4 linked regions of the Schizosaccharomyces pombe genome follow. Changing the gene in region 3 together with the main gene of any one other region gives a genetic interaction. Each region holds a gene or a part of one and is shown on either strand. Other genes may lie near its edges. The genes, in order: SPOM_SPAC22G7.03, his7, ate1 and osh42.

What was found.
Region 1: mutations in ate1 (region 3) and SPOM_SPAC22G7.03 together harm fitness more than expected from each alone (negative genetic interaction), as found in Schizosaccharomyces pombe (one large-scale study listed by BioGRID).
Region 2: mutations in ate1 (region 3) and his7 together harm fitness less than expected from each alone (positive genetic interaction), as found in Schizosaccharomyces pombe (one large-scale study listed by BioGRID).
Region 4: mutations in ate1 (region 3) and osh42 together harm fitness more than expected from each alone (negative genetic interaction), as found in Schizosaccharomyces pombe (one large-scale study listed by BioGRID).

What each region holds. Positions count from the first base shown.
Region 1 is NC_003424.3:729,480-733,959, forward strand, and holds SPOM_SPAC22G7.03 (uncharacterized protein), read left to right. Parts: upstream 1-2,448; 5' UTR 2,449-2,458; coding exon 2,459-3,169; 3' UTR 3,170-3,280; downstream 3,281-4,480. Other genes in the region: karyopherin Kap111, read left to right, coding at 1-1,206, 1,247-1,484, 1,525-1,709, 1,748-1,843, 1,890-2,071, 2,137-2,227; poly(A)-specific ribonuclease complex subunit Pan2, read left to right, coding at 3,401-3,418, 3,463-3,561, 3,606-3,772, 3,890-4,016, 4,057-4,480.
Region 2 is NC_003423.3:2,039,502-2,044,549, forward strand, and holds his7 (phosphoribosyl-AMP cyclohydrolase/phosphoribosyl-ATP pyrophosphohydrolase His7), read right to left. Parts: upstream 2,692-5,048; 5' UTR 2,646-2,691; coding exon 1,392-2,645; 3' UTR 1,232-1,391; downstream 1-1,231. Other genes in the region: Cu(2+) transporting ATPase Ccc2, read left to right, coding at 1-1,200; gid2 (ubiquitin-protein ligase E3), read right to left, coding at 3,006-3,559, 3,620-4,262.
Region 3 is NC_003424.3:2,076,130-2,081,514, reverse strand, and holds ate1 (arginine-tRNA--protein transferase), read left to right. Parts: upstream 1-2,671; 5' UTR 2,672-2,784; coding exon 2,785-2,901; exon of another isoform or gene 2,902-2,955; coding exon 2,956-2,987; exon of another isoform or gene 2,988-3,028; coding exon 3,029-3,094; exon of another isoform or gene 3,095-3,148; coding exon 3,149-3,672; exon of another isoform or gene 3,673-3,718; coding exon 3,719-3,789; exon of another isoform or gene 3,790-3,830; coding exon 3,831-4,091; exon of another isoform or gene 4,092-4,130; coding exon 4,131-4,235; 3' UTR 4,236-4,408; downstream 4,409-5,385. Other genes in the region: AAA family ATPase Elf1, read left to right, coding at 1-2,241; serine/threonine protein kinase Pit1, read left to right, coding at 5,269-5,385.
Region 4 is NC_003423.3:557,284-563,133, forward strand, and holds osh42 (oxysterol binding protein), read right to left. Parts: upstream 3,045-5,850; 5' UTR 3,010-3,044; coding exon 2,948-3,009; intron 2,881-2,947; coding exon 2,868-2,880; intron 2,746-2,867; coding exon 2,720-2,745; intron 2,192-2,719; coding exon 1,990-2,191; intron 1,943-1,989; coding exon 1,052-1,942; 3' UTR 544-1,051; downstream 1-543. Other genes in the region: Ca(2+) transporter Rsn1, read right to left, coding at 4,221-5,850.

The sequences.
Region 1 (4,480 bases), 1.3 Mb from region 3:
TCCTTTCTTAACATTGTTATTGGATTTGCCGAAGCAATGCTGCCACAAATCATTGATCATATTCAGGAAGAAAAATCCATTCGATTGTTGTATATTTTAGCCTCTTTACTTAGTTTTCCAGGGTACGCAATAGTAGAAGAAAAAGTTAGCTGGCGTACTCTGGAATTCTGGACGACATTAATTGAGGATTTTTCGATGAGCAAAGCTGCTACGGATCCTTCAAAGGATGAAATATTCAAGCAAATAGCATTTTCTGTAGTCGAAAAAGCATGGTGGAAAATGTTATTACCCTCCCCCGAACAATGGAATTCTTGGCCTTCTAGTTCGCGTGATTCATTCAATAGTTACAGACGTGATTTGGGTGATCTTTTAGAAAGTTCTTATTCCATTTTTGGAGAAAGGCTTTATGCTATGTATATAACGACTATTGAGAATTTCTTCTCGGATGGTACAGGAAGCCCTCAATCATTAGAGGTTTCATTTTATTGCTTATGTTGTATTTTAGAGTACGACACCAATGACAGTGATACGTTAGATGCCTGGCTTACTCGGTTATTTGAAACGAGTTTTGCTATAAAGGCTTCGGCTTTCCAAAACCCGCAACTATTAAAAACCTGTTCTCAATTATTAAGCAGTTGCTCTTGCTTTCTTCAAAATCACCCTCAATATCTTAATATATCTTTGCCAGTTTTATTCGATGCCTTACACATTTCTGAAACTTCAATACAAATGACTGTCTCTCGTTCAATACACACTCTATGTACAACTTGTGCATCCCATCTATTAACTGAAATCGACGGATTCATGGCGGTGGTTGAAGAACTAACACCCAAGCTGGTATATGTACCTTCTGTGCTAGAAAAGATTTATAGCTCCGTTGGATATGTTACACAACGTATAGAAGATATTGAATTAAGAATCAGTTATCTGATGAGACTTTTAAACTGCATTCTCGCACAACTTCAACCAAGTTTATATCCTAATCTTGAAATATTCGAAAACGTTTTGAAATCCTGCCTCCAAAGCGTAGCCGGAGTGGCCTTAAGTCAGAGTCCAATTGGCGAAAGTCCAATAATTGATGTTGAGCAATCTACCCAGGAAACAACTTTTTGGCAGCAATCGTGCATTGCAGAATTTCAAGCAAAACTCATTTCCTTTTTGACCCATTCCGAGTCTATGGCGTTACAGTATTCCGACGTCGTTGGGGTAGGTGATCTGTTAAACCGAAAATACTAATATGATATAGTTAATTTGCAAGATTATGATTGCTGGTCTTAATGAAGTAGAGCCTTCTCCATTTTCATTGCCTATAGTAACTACCATTCAATACTTCTGTGACAGATTTACAGAATTTCCGGCAGCAGTTTTGCTAACGTTGGGATCAGCAATTTTGACATGTCCTTACGGCCAGACTGATATTATTGACAAAGTGCTAATTGATATGTGCTCATCGATTCAAAATTCTGTTGTTATAATCAATGAAGGTAAATAATTAGCAGCAATGTGCCATACTAACTAAAATAGAATCATTTATGAACAATATCGACATTACAGTCGAATTATATCACTTCTTTTCAATAATTCTTCAAAAACACCCCTCATTTTTAGAAACGATGTATCCAGATTTTACCCAACTTATTTTAAACCGCGCGATTAATTTGCTTGGCAAGCCTGAGAGATTGTTAGAATCAGCAGCCGGCCAATTTATTGTAAGTGATCATTATCTGTTAAAAATATTAACATTAAGATTTCATTCATTACGTCCGAAAAAAGCGACCTCCTAAACACTCATACAGATTTCGTGAATGCAATTCGAAGTCCTCTTATTGCTAAAATACTATTGGTAAACAATATTTATGCTTTTTTTGCAAACTAATACTGATTTATAGGGGTTCGGTGGAAATGCATCACGGAGCTCTTTACCGTTGCTTTCAGATATATTAGGAAAATTAAAGGCACAAAATTTCTCTGCGACAAGAGCATGCCTTACTCAGTCACTTGAAGAAGAAGGATTTCCTTCACGGAATGTTTCAAATGAGATCAAACGTCGATTTTTAACAGATCTTCTTAAGTAAGCATTATTTGTCGTTTTCATCACGTCTATGTAATGATTATCTTGTTAACAACAAATTCTAGGGCACGAATAAAAGACAAAGTAAAACAATTTTGGATACTTTGCAAAGGACTAGAAAGTACTCCTTATGGCAATTCAAGCTGGACCTTTTAAATCATGTAATAAATAAAATAGCTTGGTAGGAAACTGCCAAGCTACATAGTCTCCAGTTAATTAACTTTGTATAATAAAAGATAAGCAAAATGCTGCTTATTCTAAAATTTACGAGAAATAACATTCGTTTTTTTAAAGAAGTAAATAGGCTGAAATTTTTTGATCAAATTGGTTTTTAAGATTTTCGAGTATTTATTGAGCACAACACGTAAATTATCTTTATACTACTTAATGCAACAACTAATTAAAGAGCATTTTGGAAATGGGGGAAAGGTCAGGTCAACGAGCATTGAATACCCCATTTTTGTTCATTCTGGAAGTATCTCTGCTATGTTGCTTACTTTAGTAAATGCCCTTGAGTGCAATGATGTGGACGAAGGCGTGTTAGTATATCCAACAGGTTCGACTAATCCAATGGAAAACATTCTAAGAATGGAAAATCCATTTGATGGATTTTTAGCTAAGGAAGCTTATTCCATTCATTTTCAATCAGTTTTAGAACGAATTCAATTGATTCCTTGTTCTCATGTGGATGATTTAGAAAAAATAGTTGAAGTACGTTTAAAGCACGCAAAATTAATACTGGGAATAGCAGATATTTCCAAACTGCTAAAAATTAGGGGTTGCTTAAATGGACGTTACCTATCTAGGTATTTGATGCTTTGCTTACAAAATAGTAAAATACTTATAGTTTGTGAGACAGGAGGTTTACAAGAACGAATACCTATTATTGAAGATATTTCAATTAATGAGGATACACAACGTACCGTTAGCTTAGAAACTATTTATGCTACATGGATACCAACATTCTGGGAATCGAAAAGAAAATCGCATGAGAAAGATGAAGGACGATTAGTCGATCGAAGACACAAAGTTTTAGTAGATTGGCTTGCTAATACATGCTTTCGTGGCATGAGTTTAAAAGATCATTCTGCATTATAATTTTCATAACCAGGCGCTTAATATAATATTTAGTTCTAATGAAAAGGCATATAAAACATTGCAGATTATCAACTATATACAAATGTTTAATATAACTATTTAATATCTGATTGAAATCACAATCGTAGGTTTGTGTTGTATTACTAGTTTTCATTAGGTAAACCTGGCTTGCTATGACCAACACTTCAACTCCTAGAGAAAGAGGTTATAGTCAACTGTTTGAAATGAGAGATGGATGCGTGGAAAGAAGTAATTATTTTTATAATATTCCATTATAAATTTTAACAAATTAGATTACCAAAACAACTGAAAATGATGGTGTATCGACGTGTTCCTTAAGTTCTATTGCTTTTGATCCCTACTCAGAATTAGTATGGACTGGACATAAAAATGTAAGTTAGATTAAAGATTAATTATGAAACTAAGTAAATTCTAGGGTCAAATTAAATCTTCTTTCGGACCCTCACTAACATCGTATACTCAATTCATTGGGCATGAGGGTCCGGTGCACCAAGTATTACCACAGGAAAGGGGTGTATTTTCCCTTTCTAGTAAATCTTTACGATTGAGTAATCGCAAAGGAACAATAAGATGGAGATATCAGTAAGTATATCATGATATGCATTCTTGATCTAGTAGTTCCGTACCTTGTGTTCAGCGATCTATGATCATTTTGTATTCATGCTTTCTATGTTCAAAACATGCAGTACTAATCTCTAGGGATTCTGATTGTATAGATTACCGGGCTATGTTCTACCAGAGTCGTAATAATCCCGAAGTTGTTATAGGAGGATATCATCAAAAGCTTACGGTTGTTAATGCTGAACGAGGAATTTCAATTCATAAGGTAATGTTCCTTTGTGTCCTGTATCACTAACATTTAATAGGACAAAAACGTTAGTGACATTTTCATAATGCGAAGGAATAGACTTCTCTGTTGTGGATCTACAAATGGTGAAATTATTCTTCGCGACCCAAATAGTTTTCAGCCAGTCAATAAAGTTGTAGCGCATACAGGCACTATATCAGATATTGACACTTCTGGAAACCTTTTATTATCATGTGGTTATTCATTGCGACATGGCACATACATGCTAGACCCATTTGTTAAGGTTTGGGATCTTCGAAATCTATCTAGTCTTGTTCCTATTCCATTTCCTGCTGGTCCTACTATCATCCGTATGCATCCAAAGCTGTCTACCACTGCTGTTGTTTGCTCTTGTTCGGGTCAATTTCATATTGTTGATACAGGAAATCCCTTGGATGCAAAGTTGATGCAAATTCCGTTAACTTCTTATCTAACTGGGATGG
Region 2 (5,048 bases), on a different chromosome or scaffold from region 3:
CTGAACGGTATCATCATCAAAGGTGGTGAAATTTTAGAGCGTCTAAATCAGGTTGACACTGTTGTCTTTGATAAGACAGGCACACTTACAGTGGGTAAGCTAAGTGTCACCGACATAAGCATTGTAGATAATTTGGAGGAATTACTTGACATTCCTAAGAATATTTTTTGGGCTTTTGTTAAAGCTTCAGAGTCTTCAAGTGAACATCCAATTGGAAAAGCTATTACTGAGAAAGCTTCAGAATTTACCGATGTTTCTGAAATTGGAATTGAATCATTCAATGCTGTGCCAGGTGAAGGTGTTGATGTTGTACTTAGGTGGAAAGAGCGGACTTTTCATGCTTTGCTTGGGAATTCACTGTTACTGGAACATAACAACGTGTCGATACCTGATGACTTTGATTCAAAGCTGAAGCTTTCTTCTAGTAGTGGGCTTACTTGTGTTCGTATCGCTATCGATGGCCAGTTTGTAGGTTTCTTGGGCTGTATGGACCAAGTGCGGCCCGACTCGTACCAAACTGTATCCGCTTTAAAACAATTAGGTAAAAAGGTTTGTTTATTGACGGGTGATCAAAAAGCCACTGCCCGACGCGTTGCCCAAGGACTAGAAATCGATTTCTCTGATGTTTACGCGGAAGCAGTTCCCTCTCAAAAGGCTGAAATTATTCAGAAGTTAAAAGATCAGAAGCATTGTGTCGCTATGGTAGGTGATGGTATAAATGATTCGCCTTCACTTGTGTTGGCTGATGTTGGCATTGCTCCCATTAATGGATCAGGCATTGCTTTAGAAAGTGCAGATGTAATACTTGTACGTAAAGGCGTTCTACTTGATACCGCAGTATCCTTTGATTTGTCTAGAGTTATCGTTAAAAGAATTAAAATGAACCTTGTGTGGGCTTGCATATATAACTTTGTCATGATTCCTATTGCAATGGGCTTCTTCCTTCCATGGGGAATCTACTTAAATCCTATGTGGGCTAGTGCTGCTATGATGTTTTCTTCTCTTAGTGTTCTTGCAAGTAGCTTACTTCTCAGGAGATGGAAAAAGCCTAAGAGCCTTATATTCAGTGAAGCAGATGATGTTGAAACAGAGAGTTCAACTAATTCTAGTGTATTACAGAAGGTATACACAGCGACAAGGTCGATATTTGGTAGGAATAAGTCGAGCAACAAATACCAGCCAGTGGCTAATGAAGTCTGAGTTATTATCTATCCAGCGCTCAAATTAAACAATATAAAACAAATAATATTAGTACAAACAGCAAATATGAATTTTTTTTCATTATTAAATAATTACACAAAGTAAAAATTTCCGCATTAGCAAGGTTTTAGTAGACTACACCTTAGACCGACTGCTATCATCTGCGAATGAAGAGTAGAAATTTAAAAAATTCAGGCAGTATAAGACGTGTTTGCCACTCCTCCTTTGTCTTTAAGTTTCTCTTGCCATGCAACTTTAGCATCTCCCTTTCTTCTTGTAACTTTACGATGTTTCAAATCAAGATGACGACTAATGTCATTAAGGCTAACACCCGAACCGACGCAGCGGGTTATGGCAAAGTACATCAAATCAGCCATTTCCCAAATAACATTCTCTTTGGTGGTAGCATCACACAACTCTTCAGCTTCCTCCATAATTTTTGCACGCAATAACTTTGGGTCGGAGAACAAACGAGCAGTATAAGATCCCTCAGGAGCATTATTCTTCCTATCGATTAAAGTCTTTTCTAACTGACAAAGTCCTGAAGCTTGTCCAAAGCAATGCAAGGTGTCAAGATGACAAAAACCTTTACCGGTTTGATAGACGACAAAGCGCAAGCAGTCTTCATCACAATCGACGTCAATATGAATTAAGTGTTGAACAGCACCAGAAGATGCGCCCTTGTACCACAAGCCACGTTTGCGGGATTGATAAACTCCAGTGCCAGTCTTCAAAGACTCAGCAACGCTTTCCTTGCTAGAATACACGAGACCAAGTGCAATACCGAGCTCATTGACGACTAAAGTAGAAAATAGTCCATCCTCACGATCAGTATTGGCAGATATCAAAATGAGATCAGCTAATGATAACTTCTTGGGCTCTTCGGCAGGCTTCACTGTCAAGAAAGAACTTGACAGAACGGGAACGACAGAGTGAACAGAAAAAGATTTCAGTACCTCCATAGATGGTTGTTCGGGGAACTCCAAATATAAAGTTCGGCCTCCACCCTCAGGCATTACAGCTTTGTGAATGATCTTGCTGGCTCTTTCAAAAAAGTCAGGGGGATAATTCTCAGCACTGCCGATCCATTGAATAGAACCAGCAACTTGTGAAAGTTTTTCAATTTTTCCAATATCAGTAGTGTCTGTCTTCAAAACCAAACGATTCGGAGAGATGTCTGCCAACTCGTTTAGCATTTCTTCATTAACCAGTATGGCGAGTGCACCAGCGTTCAAAAGGTTGACGCAGGCCTCTGGTCCAAGTTCAGCAGTCGTGTCAACGATCACATCAATCGTTTCCGAAATTTTGCGAACTTTTTCGAGATTATCTTTGAAATGCTGAGGAAACACTCTTGTTTGCACTCTGCCGACGTACTTAAGCCATCCTAACTCTTCAGAAGCATCACTCTCAAAGTTCGTAAGATCAAAAAATGGTAAAAGAGCCATTTGTAAGTCAAATACCCCTAAAACTCTAACTACTTTTCTGTTTGGCAAACGAAAGATTCACATCGCCCCAAGTAACAATCATAAATCACCTTTAGGTAACCAGGTTACAATGCGTCAGATTTTCTGACTCAAAAGAGATCTCAAGTAGGGAGAGTAGGTGAATCATCAAAGATAAAAACAGTAATTTTTAGCTTCATAAATACTTCCATCAATTTTTTAAGTCATTATTTTGAAACCACTTTCGCAAATTAGGATTCTCGTTGGCATAGCGAAATCCTTGCTTGGTTAGGAAACAGTCTTTTGGTGGCATTTATAATACTCTTAATTTAGTTGAAATAAAATCATTATCTTAAATTCCTTTTAAAAGTAGACACGAATAGCGTCTGCAGCAACATTTTCATTAGGACAGTAGGGACATTTGAATCGTTGAGAGCCATTTCGAGATAATTGTCGAAGACTTTCTTTGACAATAACATGACCGCAAGACATCATCATAGGAGGGTTTTCCTCCGTAGCCTGTTCTTTGCTAACAGGACAAGTGAAAACACTATGGAAATGATAGCTGCTGGGTAAAAAAATTTCAACCGGAAGTTCCCCTTGTGAAGTCCATTCTGTATGCTTTTTCTTCATTATACTGGACATCTTTAACAGAATAGGTAGAGCAATGGCCCCAGCATTTACTACTATATCCAACGGGGATTCCAAGGACATACCCAATGCAGCGCAGAACTCTCGAACAAATAAAAGTTCAAGGGATTTCCAATCAAGATCAAGTACATCAATATACTCTTGGGGAATATTCAGTTGTGCGTTGTTTGATATTATATGATGGATGGAATCATGCGAGTCATTTGTACCCGAAAGGACCTCATTCCTGGAACAAAAGAACAAAGCTATCATTGTCTTTTGGATATCTTATATAAGTTAAAAAAACCAAAAATTCCCTAAATATATTTATGATCATTTAAACTTACCCGCTAAATGTTTCTTTTGAAACTCGGCCATATTTGTGCGGCAATATCGTATCGCAGCCATAATATCCTTAGTAGTGAGATAGTTAGAAACAAGTCGATATTTCTGAAGCGTATATTCTAAGCTGCTTCCCTTTCTTTCTAAATAACCACGACACTGAGAGGCCCATTCGATGGGCAACTTTAAATCTTTATCTCGAATCCCTTGAACGATAGATTTGAGAAGCGTAAAAACGTGAAGACTTTCGGAGGGCTCTTCAATTCCAGCTTCTTTGCAAAATAAATGGGCTAACTCAACATCGCCTTGTCGAAAAAAATGCAATGATAAAGCAGTATCAATTTCACGCTTTTTACTTTCAAACGATGAATGAAGCTTGATATCTTCTAAGTCAAAGTTAAATTTTTTCTCAAGAGTTTTACCGAATCGATTTAAAGACGTGTGAAACTTCTTCTCGGTACGTTTCAGATCATCAAAAACTTGTTGTGTTTTTTCAGAGCATGCTACCAATTCCTTCATAGATGTAGTAGGATCTTTTAGGCAAGATTTCTTTGCATCCTTTAATATACTTTCCAATTCATTAAGCTTAGCTAAGCATTTATTTCCAGGCGCCGTTTCTTCAATCCGCTGCCATTCGTCGATATTCATTATGTATAAAGAAGTTACTACGAAAAAAAATAAAAGACGAAATAGATTAAAATATTGTCCAATTCCAACACCTTTGTTTTAAATACTCCAAGTATGGGCTTTATCGTCAAAGAAATAAATCTTCAATGCACGTTGCTCAGTTGATTAAAAACTATGCAAGATTGGAAAAGAAAGAATTATAATATGAATTGAGAAGATGTTCTATAAGTATTTAAAAGCACTATTAGACACCAATTATTAAAATAAGAGCATCCTATAGTGTGGTTTGCTCGTGCCAAGTGCTTTGTATCAGTGAGCAAATGAAGTCACTCTGCTACATATCAGGTACCAAATTTCCCATCTACCAATATCGGCATTTAGAATTTTTATCAACATTTCGTAATATTCTGTTAATTGCAATTAACCTGTTTCCTATTGCCAGCTGAACTTGTATTTCAAAATCCTATGAATCGAAACTTCAAATAACTGAAAGACTAAAACTTATCTGTATTGGCGTTGGATTAAATCATAGTGGATGACTTTAGAAATACATGTACACTTGGTGATAAATAACTATAAAACCTATTTAATGATATCAAGAAAGCTTACTATCGATCAATAAACGAATGGCAATTGTAACCCTTTAGTTCCATAAAGTCGACCAGGAGAAGGAAATGATGAGACAAGTTGTTCAGATCTCCGATATTAAATTGATCGGATGTTGATACCTATCTTCTTATAAGCTAATCTTCTCTCTGATCCTATCAAAGTAACTTTCTCGGAGAAAGGTCGAGCAATTGTAATTCA
Region 3 (5,385 bases):
ATGCCTGAAGTTCGTGCCCTTGCTTCTCATGCACTTACTACTCTAAACAAGGCTGCAGCTGCTCAGGCTGCAAAGGCTGCAAACAATTCTGAGAAACAGGCGTTAGATAGCGCTTGTAAAGAATTACGTGAGGCCGTCCTTAAAAACACTAGTGTACCACATGAGTTGGCCAACAGTATCATAGATTATGTCTGCGATGCCTTAGCAGCATTGTATAAGTCAAATAATTTTGACAAAGACAAATGGACTTCGCAATTAGGTGTGCTTTATTTATCTCCACTTGTCGGGGAAGAATTGGCTTCACAAATATCATCAAAGATATATGATGACCTTCACGCCTTCTATAAGTCATTAAATTCTGTTGATGGGATTTCAAACCTTACTATTGAGGAAGAGGAACTAGTTAACACTGATTTTTCTTTGGCATACGGTGGCAGATTGCTTCTGAGTCATACCAATCTTCACCTTTATAGAGGTCATCGATACGGTGTTGTTGGTCACAATGGTTGTGGTAAATCAACCTTGTTACGCGCTATTGGTGATTACAAGGTTGAAAACTTTCCCTCACCTGATGAGGTTAAAACTTGCTTTGTTGCACATAGTCTTCAAGGCGAGGATACTAGTATGGCTATCCTTGACTTTGTTGCTCAAGATAAGGCGTTACTGACTATGAATGTTACCCGTCAAGAAGCTGCTGATGCTTTGCATTCTGTTGGTTTTACTGCGGAGATGCAGGAAAATCCTGTTGCTTCTTTATCTGGTGGTTGGAAAATGAAACTGGAGTTGGCTCGTGCCATGTTGCAGAAAGCTGATATTTTGCTTTTGGATGAACCAACAAATCATCTTGATGTTGCCAATATTGCATGGCTGGAAGCATATTTAACCTCTCAAAAGAATATTACTTGCTTGATAGTTTCTCACGACTCTTCATTTTTGGACCACGTGTGTACTGACATCATTCATTATGAAGGTGTTAAAAACCAGGCAAAAAAGCTTGGTTATTATCAAGGTAATCTTTCAGCTTTTGTCAAGGTCAAACCGGAAGCTAAATCATACTATACATTGACAGCCACAAACGAGAAGTTTGTTTTTCCACCTCCCGGTATCTTAACTGGTGTGCGCTCAAACACACGTCTCATATTAAAAATGACAAACGCTTCTTATACATATCCCAACGCGAAGAAGAAGTCATTAGATAATGTTACCGTTGGGTTATCTTTATCTTCTCGTGTTGCCATTTTAGGTCCTAACGGTGCTGGTAAATCAACGCTTATTAAAGTTCTTATCGGTGAAGTAATCCCTCAAGAAGGAAAAGTTTTCAAGCATCCCAACTTGCGTGTGGGTTACGTTGCTCAGCATGCCTTTCATCACTTGGATCAACATCTGGAAAAAACGCCAAGTCAATATATTCAATGGCGTTATGCTGGAGGACAGGACCGCGAAGTTTCAGAGAAGGAATCTCGAAAACTTACCGAAGAAGACCGTGCTCAGCTTCAGCGTGATATTACGGTCAATGGCGAACGTAGAAGAGTGGAAGCTTTGATTGGCCGTCAAAAACTAAAAAAGTCATTTCAATATGAAATTAAATGGTTTGGGAAGCCTCATAAATACAATACGTGGGTGTCTCGAGAAATATTGCTTGAAAATGGGTTTCAAAAGTTTGTACAGGCTTTTGATGATATGGAATCTTCTCGCGAAGGTCTCGGTTTCCGTGAATTGATTCCCGAAGACATCAGGGCACATTTTGAGGATGTGGGCCTTCCTGGCGACATTGCTGATTACAGCCCCATTAGTAGTTTGTCTGGCGGTCAAAAGGTTAAAGTTGTTATTGCTGCGTGTCTCTGGAATAACCCCCAGCTTTTGGTTTTGGACGAACCTACAAACTTTTTGGACAGAGATGCATTAGGTGGTTTAGCTGTTGCTATTCGTGATTGGGAAGGTGGGGTCGTTATGATTTCACATAATGAAGAATTTGTTTCTGCGTTGTGTCCTGAACACTGGCATGTAGAAGCGGGTAAGGTTACCGGTAAGGGCAAGACCGCTGTTGACGATGGAAAGTTTGAAGATCTGTCGGAGAAAGATTTGAAAAAGATTGAGGCTAAAGCTACCAAAAAGAAGAAATTGACGAGAAATGAAATCAAGGCCAAAGAAAGACGTGCTAGAGAGAGAGAATTAGCATGGTTACAATCTCCCAAGGGCACCGAAAAACCCAAATCATTCTTCTCTGATGATGAAGAATAATTTCAGACTAATTTTTTAATTCGCTCTTTGGATTGACAAGTTGAGAGTTGTTTATCCTTTAATTTTCTTTAGACGGTGCTAGTTGTTGAAGTTGGTCTTTTACATATTTACGGTTTACTGATATACCTTTTAGACTTAATTTATATATATAGAACTTGGTGGATGGTATCGTGGATAATATTAATATTAGTCGCTTTTTATATGTTTTGTTTATCGTTAGTGCATGTTATAGTTGTATTAGACGTATACACTTTTGTCATTGACTCTTGTAAAAGGTGTCAAGAGAACTATGTATTTTTTGGGTTTTTTTCTAGATATTCGTATGAAAATGTGATAGACTTTTTAATATGATTAATCAGGAAATTTCTATAAACATGCACTCAACGAAAAATAGGGTACTTAATCTTCAAGAAATAATTGGTGTAGTCTTAGTTCACCTACTCAAAGAGCCTTCAAAATAAAGGCAAAAGAACTGAACTAAGAGTTTTACTACTGATGATATAGTTCATTTAATATTAAACAGGGAAATTTTCAAACAATAGTATGGTATTGGATAAACTGTTGTACACAGGGTACAACGTCAGTACTGAATGTGGTTATTGTAAAAGTGGAAGAAAGACCGAGCATTTTGGTTTATTAGCAGAAAAGCTCAGTTGTGAAGTAAGCGTATAACTCTGCTTTTTGCAAATTTTGCTAACCTACATTTAACCTCAGGACTACCAGCGATTGATTGATTTGGGATGGAGGTAAAAACCTTTATTAGTTAACATTGCTAATATAAAATAAGACGTTCAGGACATTATTTATATAAACCCAACGGGAAAACATCTTGCTGTTCTCTTTATACAATCAGGTACTTAGCATAAGTCGCCAAATATGATTGATTACTAACCGCCGAATGTTGAAGACTCGACAGCTATAATTTTAAAATTGCAAAAGAGCAAAAGAAGGCAATAAAAAAATGGGTCAAATATGTAAATGGAAAGCCATTAAAACCTATGAAAAGCGAAATTAGCACAGATTATTTGAACAATGCCTTTCAAACTATAGAATCGCTCGGAGCTGAAAAATACTCTGTAACTATGGAGCCTTGCACTTACACCGATGAGAAATTTGAAGTCTTCAAAAAGTATCAAATGCAAGTTCATTTAGAGAAAGAAGAGGAAATCACGAAAAAAGGATTTAGCAGGTTTCTTTGCAACTCTCCTTTATTTAATGAAGACAAGGGGATAAAGTATGGTTCTTATCATCAGATGTATCGATTTCAAGGAAGGCTTGTGGCAGTTGGAGTTTTAGACTTGCTACCACATGGTGTTTCTAGCGTTTATCTGTTTTATGATCCTGATATGTCTAAGTTTTCTCTGGGAAGGATTAGTGCCTGCCGTGAAATCTGGCTTGCTCTTGAATGCGGATATCGGTACTACTACATGGGTAGGCTAAAATGTCATTTATTTAATTACGTTGATTGACCTTGCAGGTTATTATATTCACACATGTCCCAAAATGAAGTATAAGGCAACGTATAGTCCATCGTACCTGCTTAATCCCGTACGTATACATTCGATTTTAACTTGAACTAATACAAACAGGGTACAAATAAATGGATACCAATTGAAAACTTTACTTCACTTTGGAATACTGGTGCTCCTAAATATATAAGTTTCGGGGATGAAAATAATAGTGATATTCAAACTGCTGTTGACTACGATTCTTCTGAAGATTCATCTCAAAACGAAGATGATTATACACTGTTTAATCGACAGCTTCCTGGAATTCTTTCAGTAAATGTTGCTGAGTCCTTGGTTTCGGAGAATTTTGCTAACATTGGCAATTCAACTTTCCCCACAAGAGTATGTCTTTATTTTTGAGTAACAATGCTAATTCTTCAGCATGTTTTAAGTTATTTCCCTCAGGTTAAACATTGGTTTGTTGAAATCAATGCTGCTGTGGGCGAAGAAGTCGCAAAGAGTTATACACTTGTTTTATCTAGTTGATATATTATCTGTCTACGTGTTTTATTTGCTTAAGATATGAACATCCTACTTAAAAATCTTAATGAACTCCAGGATGGCTTTGAGAGTAAATTTTACAATGTGACTTACAGAATTAAGTTAATTTTATGCTACTACTTATGTGTGATAGTTTCCTCTTTTATGTCCCTTAATCGAAGTTGATAGCATTTCTAATAATATAAAATACTGCCGGCTTATATATTTATTTTGTAATTATTTATAACTGCACGCTACCTAAAATGTCACCCTAACATAACTTAGTGGGCTTTTCCGTTACGAGTTGTTTGCAACCAAACACAAAAACGGGTTTACCGGTACTTCACGACTTAATATAATCGCAAAACAGTGCATAGTAGGTGAGAAAGGATTTTATCATTTAGAGAAGAGATTTTACTTTAATTGTTCTTCTTTTTTCTTTCTCAAGTGTTACTGCTAGGTTCTCATTCTATAGAGTATTAGCAAACACCAGATTTCGATGACATTTCGTGTCAAAATTGGGTTGACTGCATTTTAAAAATAATTAATCACGGTTGGCTTACAATTCAACTTCTAGGCACTGATTTTTTCTTCGAATGCCATTTTGAAGTTATTTTACTTTTACTTTCCTAAAACAAGGTGTTGTAATAAGGGATTGTTCTTTTATCTATTTTTGTACCATTTGTATAAAGAATTCATTAATTTGCACTGTGATTTTCTTAATACAGGCTTAAATCCATTTACCGCTTCCATTTTTTCTTTGAATAAGTTACACCATTTCTCAACGATAAATACTTGTATAGAGAGGTGTATTTACTTGTTCAATTTCATTCTTTATTGAAAATCACTGATTTTGATTTGATTTTTATTGCGTTTAAGCTGTATGCTACTTGGAAGCTGCTTCTCAAGTATAATATTGCCTTTGCAACAAAGTTTTTTTATATCTCTTTTTACAGGATTTCGCATGTTTTATCTTTTTTGTTGAGGTGCTTCACTGATTCTATTTTGTACCTAAACTCGATTTTTGTGCGGATATATTATGAAGAAGTATTTGTGGGGTACTCCAACTACGAATACCGTATTTACAGGCAAGCAACCAAAGTATACCAAGGAGGTTCGCAAATGCATTTCAATTGATGAAGTATATAATGTTGTG
Region 4 (5,850 bases), on a different chromosome or scaffold from region 3:
TTAAAATTGTTTGGTAATGAGAAATCTTGGTACCAATATTTTGCCTTTGTAATTTTTAGCTTTTGCGTTTATGGTTAAAATGGATCTTCACTTTATACTGAAACTTCATTTCGTTTACTGATGTTATACCCTTATTTTTTTAGAAACAAATTAACAGCTTCATTTCAAATATTTAGGTTAATATCGGTGTATCTATTATTGCTTAGATTTTTGGACTTTCCGTTCGGAAACGGCAATGCGCTTTGTTGCTTTCCTGATTTCCTCATTCGTTTAATTGGAACTGAACACGTTCATTAATAGCCAATTGCAATAGTTGTACAATTCTAACAAATCATTCCTGTACTTCCGTTGAATTTATAAAAGACTTGTCTCAAAGGATTTAAAATCGTTCAACAATGAATATTAACAACTTAATCGTTTGTAACAAAATATTATAAATGGTGAACTAGCCTTATAAGCTAATTTATTAACTGTACCAGAAGCAATTTACTTTGGTATTATTACCATATTTCATCAACCAGTCCAACTCTACACCACTACATTTATTCATGCACCGAACAGTGTAATTTTCAATTAATGCATTAAATACAAGCTAAACATCACAAACCAAATAGTATGTAAAAATAAACTTGAAAAAGAAAGCGAGAAATCACTTAATGAAAAAAAAAAATCTACTACCAAATCTCGAAATGAGTATAGATCAAATTGCAATGCTTTTTCCCTGACATGCATATGTGTAACCGACATATAAGTAATAAACTAGTATACCGCATAGATAATCTAAATGAAAAGTGCTGATTTCGTACTAAAAGCCAACCGTTAAAAGAACCTTTAGTAAAATCGTTGATCGTAAAACTTCAGTTGAACGTTTAAAGAGCGAAAGATACCTATATACTTTCAAGCATTATTTTAAGCCCTGATTGCACAACCAAGAGAGCTTTTGGGCCAATCCTCCCAAAAGTAGAAAAAAGGACACTGTTAAGGACGGAAAACTATAGCAGCCCGAAAAGCACACATAAATTTAAGAAACAAAAATATAAGTAACACAAATTTATTCCATCCGTTTGACAGGTTGTTCTCCTGCTGGCAATGAAGGATGAGTGTCACCAATGTAAATCCAGAAGCCTGGTTCAATAACTTCTAAAACAGCTTGGGCTAAAGCATTCCTGGCATCGCTATCATGCTCTTCCCATTTGAAGTATCTTCTGGCCCAAACTGCTCCCTCTGCTTCTTCTTTCTTACGCATATCACGTTGTGATTGTTCGATTGTAGACTTTTTCGAGCTTACAATATCATAATTACCACTGGCTAAGGCAGCGGACACTTCTTTCCAAACATTTCGAGACTCCCAGTCTCCCATTTCTGATTCAGGCTTGACGGTAATAGGAGTAGCTTCAAGACTAGGGATGCTTAAGAAAAAAATGGTACTTTTCAGACTAGGAATAGTCAATTTAGATTCGCCAGTCCATACACCTTCAACAATATAATCAGGATCTTCATTTTTCTCAAAGATAGTAGCCTTGAAAGAATTCTTGGTACCTCTGAAGTAACCTCGGCCGGAATAATCGATCTTTGTAATATAATTTGTGTTGCTAACAATATAAGTCGAACCGTACAATTCAATATAAGGTGCCATAAACCACAGTCCTTCAAGGGAGATATTGGGCAGAGTTATATAATATGTCTCATTATACTTTTCAAGATGAACACGAAGCTGGCCGAGTTGGTTGACGTATACAGTTCGTCCTGAAAATCCACTTCTGTATTTATTATGCGTATCAACGGTGATACCGGCTTCCTTACAAACCACATGAGCAGCTGATTCAGGTCCGTGATGGGATACTTGCTCGGCAGTAAGCTCCACTTTACCCTTGCTAGAATCCCATGACCCATAAAAAAGCTCTCCCAAAATAGGGTTCAACGGTTTCTTTTCAGTACCATACTGAAATTTTGGTTAACATTACATGATAAAATTTTATAAAGACGTACGTTCTTATTCCGGGATGCGTATTCACGACTAAGACCAGTTATGTACCACTTGAGAACAGCCAGCATACGTTCTTTAGGAGTGGGAAAATCGACAATTGTTACGAATAGCTCAGGAAACTCAAACCAATAAGACATGTATTCGAGCAAAGATGTCCCTGATAAAATGAAAGAAGGAGCTGAAAGTGTGGACAAGTCACCAGTACTGTGAAGTAAAGTTAGTATTCAAATACAGATTAAAAAGAGCAATCGACATGAGAAAAAGACAATTCCTCTCTGAAAAACAAAAAGAAAAAAACTAGAAAGTTATGAGATGGAAAATTAAGAAATGGCGCTGGAAAGTCCTCTTTAATGTTAGACTCGAAAGGACAATAGCACATATCAATATGAAAGCTAAAGGCATGACAAGCAAAGAACATGAGTAAAAAACAATTTAACAACAGCAAAAATAAGCACTTGTCCATATTTTGACGCGTTATTTCATTATCTAAACCAGCCAGCCATTTGAAAGCCGGGCAAATTGCTGGAAATAAGACAATTATAAGCAATTTTACGCTTAAAAAAAGTTCCTTTTATATTTCAAATTTTTACAAAAATCACATAGATTTGAATGAAACTAAAAATCGAATGAACATTTCCCGTTGGAAAAGAATGCATCGTGTTCAAATTTACCTTTTTTTTTTCTCAAGATACCATATTTCCAATTTTGTTTCTTTTAACTGAATATACTTACAATGTAGCCAAGTTCTTGATGAACCCCTTTTTTGAAGAAAAAGTAAGTAAAATGTTACAATGTCAAAGAAAAAAGTAAGATTCCTTGCATAAGGCTGAAAGCAGATTGATTATGCCTTCAATCTTATAGGACTCAGTACAATTCATACCATCCAAGTGCTCCTATCATAAGGAAAAAACATGTTAGTAAAATGTAAACATTTGATTAAAGAACATATGTGGTACTTACTTAGAAATGGGTTCATTACCAGATTGCACAGTCTCTTCCATTTGTTCTGATGTTTCCGACATTGTCGATCGTGTAATTAAATGCTATCGTGTTTGGTAAAAGAATAAAATCGACAGACCATGGATTGGGCGATGTTGGTTCGACTGCTCTTGCTTAACGCAGTCCTACTATTCTCCTACGTCAAAATAGTGTCATTTTACAAAGGGTACACCATTCTGCACTGTAATTATACTGCAGTAATGACTTTATTATTTAAATTATTTAACGTGGTTTATCGTGGTATATAAAAGCTGCAAAATGGTCAGTAGAAGGCACGAAGGATCGTAAATAAATGACTATTTATGAGCAAGCAAAATACATACGAAGCTTTTCTTATTTGATTAGCATTCTTTAATACATTATGTATAATATTTTTTACATAGAAAGGTTGTATGCCTTGCATATTTATACCTAGCAGATTCGAAACTGCCAGCTGGTAGACGCATGTTTTTACGACTTTTTAACATAATCGATGTTTGTTGAAACTAATTGTTTATTTAATTATTTAAACAGTTAAAGTACAAAAAAACTTCAAGCGCGCCTCCATTTCTAACAAACTACTACTCATTATTGTCAAAGCAATCTATTCAAATGTACCAAACTATCTGTTATAATTACAAGGTTATGGTGGGAAAAGTAATCTTGTTGGGAAGAATTGATTTTAACATAAAGTTAGCTATTGCCGAACGATAAATCACATGTTCGTTTCAACAAAAATGACATTTGTTGCAAAGGTATAAAAAGTTGTGCGAAATAAGAAAAGACAAAAAACATGATCTTATGACAAGAAATGTTAAAAAAAAAAAAAAAAAAAAAAAAAATTGGGATGGGATGAAAAGAAAGGTATGCAGACATAAACAACAATAAGCAAAGGGAAAATATAAGGAGAACGAAAGAAAACAACGCAAAAGAGATAACCAAACAGATGGCTATCAAATTAATGAATGAATCAAACGCAAAATAATCAAGTAAACACCACAACAAAATCTAGGTGATTCATCTTCATTTAAAAAGGTCGGAGAAGAGACCTAAAGAATACAAGCACACTTAAATTCTTCTCAAGAGCTCACAAATAAGAAACGGAGCATAGAAAACAAATGTTAAGCAAAACAAAATCGGTTGAGAATTAAGGAAATAAAAAGTTTTCAAATATGTATCTTTGCCAAAGTAAATTTGAACAGTTATAAAGTTTTTGTACAAAAGCTCGAATTCCAAGGAAAAGTTTAAGTTACCATTAAAAAATGTGGTAATATTTATCATAATGTTCGGAGACATTGATTGGTGTAATTTCCGTACTTTGGGATTCAAGAGTTTCTGGTATACTAATTTGAGAATCTTGGGTAATAGATTCTGTTAAAGGCAGCTCCTCCTCATTCAATCTAGCTCTTAAAGAAACACCACGGCTACGAGTATAAGATCGGGACAAATTTTTCTTGAGTTGCTGAACTTGTTGCTGATCATGCACTTCTTTGGCTGTATCCACATTATCAATATCAACAAAATCAACGTTTTCTAATGGTTCTTCCTCACCACGTAAGTGCTTCTCAGAAGCATCATCAGAGTCAGTAGCAAAATCAAACTTGTTATGTGTTTCCGTACGTCCGCTGTAAAACAAGGGAAGAAGTGCACGAGCATCAGATCGAACCATCGGCACGAGCAATGGGGCATAGGTGGATGGATGACCAAAGCACATTTCACTTTCACTAATCTCATTTTCCAAGGGCTCCACAACCTTCATGTATGGATCCTCAATCATGTAATGAGATTTTGGATCAAGAGCAAACATGCACCATATCTTAAAGGCAATGGCAAAGGAAAAGTTTGGAATTATGCAATAAGCGCGAACACGACCTCCCTGTACCCACAAGCATAAAAACAGAATTATGTTTGCTAATTCTAATCCCAGTAAAATACGATTCACCACTGGGCGCCAATACCCACCACCACTTTCGGTTGAGGAATTTGATACGTACATCAAAATATATTTTTGTGTTAAGTAATTGACGCAAAACAATACACTTGCAAACAAAAGGACCAAAGGGTTTATGCAAGCGTAACAAATAGCAATAGTAAAAAAGTATATTAACTTGTTGAGAACTTGACTGTAAACATACTTGGTTGGAGCGGTCCACTCTAGTAAGTCTCGAGGAGTAGGAGAAAAAAACTTTGTCTTTATTAATCGAATTGTCAAGGTTATAGGTTGAGCAATTTCGACAAAAAAAGAACAAGTAGAGTGAGCGATAAACATAATCCAAAAGGTTGAAAATTGAACAAAAGAACTAACTGACAAACCAACAGTATCAAATGTTGCAAACGCCGACATGCCTTCGGCAAAGTTACCTTCTTCCTTAGTTTTATAGGCAATAATTACACCTAGTCTCCAGAATACAGCCATCAAGGTATAAATGATGAAGTTGTCAAGGGTGAAAATGATGTGTAGTTTATTTAAAACACCACGTTCTCTAGACGACTTAGTGAAACTTCCTTGCCAATAGGAGATACGTCTCATGATTATTTCCAAAATCATAAATGTAAAACCCGCAACTGCAGGACTCAAAATACCCTGCACAATTGACCAAAAACCGGAACGAGATGTAAGCTGCTGCTGAAGCCAGGGCCAAACACTACCAAGGTGATATAAATTTGATATGAATATTGCAACCAAAGCGGTTTCAATAATCCAAGCGATAATTAAAATGATAAACAATATGTTTCCAATCATTCGATTGAATAACCTTGTGCTCCACGCCAATGACAAATTATCCCATAAGAAGTCGGAAGGTTCTGGAGCCATACTAACTGAAGCACCAGCAACTCTGGAATTATGGCGGGCGGTATCATGGGCTATATAAGATGATTTGTAC